Linked DNA regions of Cricetulus griseus. The protein of the gene in region 2 interacts with the protein of the main gene of each other region in a pairwise test. Links are inferred from orthologs where the notes say so. Each region holds a gene or a part of one and is shown on either strand. Other genes may lie near its edges.

Region 1 (3,655 bases), about 97 Mb from region 2:
TACGACGCCCACACGAATGTGGGTACGCACTTCCCCTAGGCGGCAATAATTCCCCAGGACCCTCATGAGGTTTTCAGCTCCAAAACAGGCTTTGCTTTTCAACAGATTCTCAGAAGCCTGGTCTACCGGAACTTTACACCGAGTCTGAAAATGAAGTATATTACAAAATGAGCATCAGGTGGGAGATACACTCTAAGGCCAAATTTCTAACCCGCAGTGGAATATTCAGAACCGCCCTGGGTTCACTAATCTCATAGGCTTCTGACAGCAACTACATCTCAGTTCTGCCTTGTTTCCAGTTGTTGTGCCTTTCTGTTTGTTTGTTTTTCGAGACAGGGTTTCTCTGTGTAACAGCTCTGGCTGTCCTGGAACTCACTCTGTAGACCACGCTGGCCTCAAACTCAGAGATCTTCCTGCCTCTGCCTCTGCCTCCCAAGTACTGGGATTAAGTTGTGTCTTTATGTCTACAATTTTCTCTGTTCCTTCTCTTGCCTCAACAACACACATGAGTTTTGCCTCCCACAACAGAAACATGAAGACAACCCAGCTTCAGGCAAGCTAGGTTTCATTTCTAGCTCTCTCACTCCCAGGACTATGAAGAAAAGCCTCTCTCTCTTCCTAGGGCCTTAGTGTCTCATATGCACAAAAGGGAAGCCTGACTTCTCCGCCTGTGCAGAGGGTACCTGGCCCAAAGCTGGCTGCTCACACAGGAGAAGGCCATCCCAAGCTCCCTACTTTTATTTTTGATGTGTGTGTAGGGGGGACCACAAAATTATAAGTTAACCATATTATGTTGGCAAGAGTATAGGGAAAAAGGTCCTCTTCACACATCCAGCTACCCAAGTGGGAGGAAGATTACTTGGCAGAGCTATTGTAGAGGATAATTTGTCCGTGTCTAAGAAAATATAGAAAGCATAAGGCTTATGTATGACACAGCCACACTATTACTCAGTACTCAGCCCACACCAATATTTGTCTACATGCCAAGGAGAGAAGTATAAGTGGATTAACATAAGCACTGCCTAAATAATAATAAAAACTGGAAAATAGGGACTCAGAGATAGTGTCTACATAGGCAAGATGCTCTGGGTTCCATTCTCAGAACTGCAAAAAAAAACAAAACAAAACTGAAAAACCTGTCCCCCAGAACCCAATTTATCTCCCCCAAAACAATTAATGTTACTCTAACATCTCAGTATTTTACAGGTATTCTATATTGATACCAATAGGAAATATTATGCCTTCTTTGGGTTTCTTTTTTTTTTTGGTTTTTGGAGACAGGGTTTCTCTGTGTAGCTTTGGAGCCTATCCTTGCACTCTCTCTGGAGACCAGGCTGGCTTCAAACTCACAGAGATTCGCCTGCGTCTGCCTCTCGAGTGCTGGTATTAAAGGCATACGCCACCAACGCCCGGCCCTATGGGTTTCTTTTTAAACATTATTTATTTACTAAAGTCATGGTGTTGGCACATGCATTTAATGCCAGCACTCAGGATATGCAGGAGGATCTCTGAGTTTGAGGCCAACCTTGTCTACAGAGTGAATTGGAGGATAGCCAATAAATATTCATTTATTTTTATGTGTATAAGTGTTTTGTTTGTATGTATGTCTGTGTACCATATCTGGAGAGGTCAGAAGAAAGTATCAAATCCCCCTGGAACTGGAGTTATAGATGGCCGCCATGTAGGTGCTGGGTACTGAACCTGGGTCCTCTGGAAGCAAATGCTCTTAACCACTGAGCCTACTATGCCTTGTTTTAAAGAGGGGGAAATGTTTTGAAGAGCTAAAAAGTAGTTAACTCCATTTCCCATATCTCCTATAGACAGTATATATTATTATATCCTCACAGCCAAAAAAGCATGCTTTCTGAAGGGCAATGATATAGGAAGAAGTAAAGGAAAATAAAAATTAACAAGTCACCCACTAGAGAAAATACCTCAAAGTGGAAAGCCCAATTCAAATCGTAAGACCTACAACCTTAACCCCAAACCACAATGAAAGAGGCTAGATACTCCTACTTCAAGCTTACCAAGTTTTTGACCTGATGCTGGGTGCTGGCCTTGAAAGCCACAGTTGGCAGCTCATTGCGAAGGTAATCCAGCCATTTTTCCACAATCTCCTTGGGAACCAGGTCTGGGAAAAACAGAAACAGATGGGACTTGTAAGAACATTACTTCTGTGGCTTCCCCTAAGCCATATACCCATGTCTAGGCCTACCTCCTACTAACAGATCGCTCCTCTTGCCCTAACTGTCCCTGCATGCTCCCCAGAATGGAGTCATAGAGAACAATCTGATCCACAGGACCAGTTGGCCCTCCCTAAGAAGGCTTACCCTCTTGAAGAAAATATGTAAAGAAGTAGTTTTGTCCCAGACATCCCCCTTCCAAGTCAATGTGCCCAAATACCTTATTCCCTTTCCTAATCATTCTAGGCTGGGCTAAGTGTCAAGAAAAAAAATCACCAAGAACAGTTATGATTTGTCAAATGTTGATTTGCACCAAGCTCTTCAGTAATTCTCACAATAAAGCTGTGAGACTGAGATGCCGTGCCCCTATTTACTATGAGAGAAATAGAAGTTGTCATGAGCAACATGATCTATCTGCTATCAAGAAGAAAATACCAAAGTACGATAAGACTAATACCTCAGTGAGTCCCAAGCCATGTGCTCTCTCTTGTCCAAATCTTTGTGTTCCGGTTTGTGGGGACAGGTCTCCAAGAATGACCAGCCACAGAACTGGCTCAAAATTGCAAGGAAAGGGGGCTGAAAGGCAAACAGGCTCAGACTCTACCCCCAAGCCATGCTACATTCTTTATGTGTCTGTGTGTGTACCAGACAATATTTCTGGCTTTGGGAATTTGAACAAGAATTCCTATCAATAGCAATTATGAATGCCGCTGATAGGTCTCAGTGCCTAATCTAAGCTAGCCTTAGCTTACCCTATTCCCTGCCTTACCCAATCCTTCCAAAACCTACCAATCTTATTCAAGACCAAGACCAGCTTCTTGTTGCCTTCTGCCCGAAGGACAGTCTCCTCCATCTGGAAACAGCGGCAGCCCAATGGGTCTCTAGCATCCAGGACTTCCAGAATCACATCAGAGTACTCTACCACCTGCAGGACAGAAAATACAGAGTAAGAAGCCTGAGAACAGACTGGGTAGTAGTCTCTGTTTCAGTCAGCAATAAACAGAAATGAAGAAATGAAAATGCACTGGGGTCCTCACCAAAGGGCTTTAAGAAACGGGTACCTGTTATGTATCTCAAGTCTATAATCCCAACACTTGTGATGAGACAAGAGGACTGCAAATAGTTCACGGCCAGCTTGGGATGCACACAGTGGATTCTAGGTTAGCCTAGACTAAAGAATAAGACCTTCTCTAAAAACAAAACAAACGAAGATAAAGGGAAGAAATGAATCCTACCTTACGGAACTCCTTGTAATAGGCCTTCCGTGTGGCCTCATCATCCAACTGAGGAAACATATTCAATTCCTGCAAAACTTCCTCCTAGAGGAGGAGAAAAAAGAGAGTAATAGTTTATAGAGGAGAAAGGGGCAAGCAGATGCAAAAAAAGGATGGAAAAGAAAGAAGGGGAGATAAGGAAGGAGGAAAGATACACCAGCACCAACAAGGCTTTTGAAAAAACACAGGAAGCTGGAG
Region 2 (2,459 bases):
ACGCACCTGATGATATTTAATATAATAAATACTACGTAGGTAAGTGAAGTAAGGGTTGGAGCTGTACATGCCGACAGACAATTCACATATAGATGAGACAGTTTGGGAAGCCCTTTCTCAAAGTAGTATAAAATGAGGTAGGCAAGTAAAGGGGGAAAGATAGCTAGAAGGGACAAAGGCTCTGAGATTAGGCGAGATCTGCTTGATGTGTGCAGGAATTAGCAGGCGAGGCAGAGATTAGGACAACAGGAGGTCATGTAAAAAGGGCATGCAGAAGGAGGTCCTTGTATGTTACGACCAAGGGTTTGCTTTTTATTCAGAGCAGCAGAGAGGGAAAAACTGCTGGAGAACGTCGAAATGGGGAGTGAAAGGCTCTAACTCACATTCTAAAAGTGTTCTGAGGCTATTCTAGAGAATATGCAGAAAAGGGGAAGAATGACAGCTAAGGGATTAGATGTAGCAGACCAGACCGTGAAAGAAGGCTGGGATCGAGGTAGCAGAGATGCCCGGAAGTGACTGAATGTGGAGATGTATTTTAAAAAGCAGACCCAATAGCTATCAGCTCAAGGATCCTGGACCAAACTTAGTTATCGACAACTAATGACGTTTAAAATAGGCAGACAAAGTTATTTTACAGAGCTCATCACAGTTTATAACTTAGGAACAAAGGCACTGATAACAGGAATATGGAAAGAATCAAAGATAGAATGTTGGCAAATGGATACTCTGTGCAGATTTGGAGATCTTTTGGTGAAATTGTCTCAACTGAAGAGAAGCCCCTGTTGACAATTACTTATGTATTTAATGAAAGCACCCCTTGCAAGTCTTGAAGTCTCTAAACTCAAATGATCTCCCGCAGTATGACCCTCAGTGTCAGTGTTATTTCTCTGGGTGAAATTTAAACAAGCAAGGAAATGTGTTAAGAAAGCATTACTCTAAAAAAATGTTGATGGCTGCAGGCCCACCGAGGAACACTGTATTGGATGAACAGGTCGGCTGCAGAGAAGTTTAAGCTGAAGCAGGCCAGCCCTGAGTGCTGAGCTTCTATGCTCGCACAGCCCTCCACTGTGGCAGGCTTGGCTCCCCCAGCGTTTCTTCATCAGGCTGGGGGAATTGACAGAGGCCCGGGGCGATGCTCCCTTGGTCACGCCTTCCTCCTCCTGGGCCACGTCCACTCGGTCCGTCAGTCCCACCCTGGCCACACCCCCACGCCACCAGCACTCCCCTCCGCCACGCCTTTCTCACCGCAGTGCGCTGGCGCATTGGCTGCCAGAGTGACCTTGTGGGTGGAGCTTCCGCCACCAGCTAGACCCCCTCTGCGCAGTGCCCAGGGTCAGCACTCCTCTGAGGACACGCACTTCCTCTACGGCCTCCTTGAGCAGCTCCGCGGAGCCGATCCGAGCCCGAGAGCCCGAGACCTGCCAAGCGAGTCACCATGGTGGACGAGCTGGTGTTGCTTCTGCACGCGCTGCTGGTGCGACACCGCGACCTGTGCATCGAGAACAACCGGCTCATGAAACAGCTGCGGCTGCTGGTGTGTGAGCGGGCCATTCTGCTGCGCCAGGTACGTCCGCCCAGCTGTCCGGTGCCCTTCCCCTCACCGTTTAATGGCGAGAACGCCCGGCTCCCCGAGTTTATTGTGCAGACGATGTCCTACATGCTTGTGAATGAGGACCGCTTCTGCAACGACGCCATGAAAGTGGCATTCCTGATCAGCCTCCTCTCCGGGAAAGCCGAGGATTGGGTGGTGCCGTACATCCAGACAGATAGCGCCATTCTCTGTGATTATCGCGCGTTTGTTGAAGAGATGAAGCAGTGTTTTGGCTGGTATGACGACGAAGATGATGATGATGATGATGACGACGACTGTGAAGCGGTTGATTGCTAGGCCCCGAGCCCCCTTAGGCCTACATGAGGAGGACCCTGCACGCTGCGTCCTCCCTACCCCCACCGCTACTCCTGCTGCCTCCGTGCCCCCCTTTGCATTGCCATTCTCTTCCCTGCCAATCACTTCGCTCCTTCATCCCTTTTAGTGCTTGTCTTTGTGCCAATTACCTGCTACGAGTGCTTGAGTTGGGCCTGGGCCTGGCTCTGAGGTTCACAGTGTTCAATTTTAACCAATCCGGGCACCTTTCTAATCTGAACTGTGTTTTGAGCTCCAGCCATTGTCCAGGCCTGTGTTAGAACTCGTCAGACCACCTGCATTCCTGCCGCTGGCTTCTGATGGATCGCCATCTACATCTGCCAGAAGTGGATGCCTGTCACCTCACCCCCCCCCACCACCACCCCCCACTGCATCTCATCTGCAGCCATCCACTTTTCAAGATATGGACCAGGAAGAAGATGATGGAGTTGGCTACATCTATTCAGACTCTCATTTGGACAGTTCACCAACCCTCCTAGAAGGGGCCATTCTTACAGCCTGGTTAGTTCTGTACCTACTTCCAGGTTCCTCCTCT

Evidence for each region.
Region 1: the proteins of protein LDOC1-like (region 2) and Gnl3l interact in binary tests that used the Homo sapiens proteins (3 or more experiments, as listed by UniProt). The two-hybrid records come from large-scale screens. The link is inferred for Cricetulus griseus from reciprocal best matches to the Homo sapiens genes LDOC1 and GNL3L.

What each region holds. Positions count from the first base shown.
Region 1 is NC_048604.1:108,472,858-108,476,512, reverse strand, and holds part of Gnl3l (guanine nucleotide-binding protein-like 3-like protein), read right to left. Parts: intron 3,503-3,655; coding exon 3,419-3,502; intron 3,109-3,418; coding exon 2,973-3,108; intron 2,132-2,972; coding exon 2,028-2,131; intron 145-2,027; coding exon 1-144.
Region 2 is NC_048604.1:11,336,510-11,338,968, reverse strand, and holds protein LDOC1-like, read left to right. Parts: upstream 1-1,435; coding exon 1,436-1,888; downstream 1,889-2,459. UniProt on the Homo sapiens protein: May have an important role in the development and/or progression of some cancers.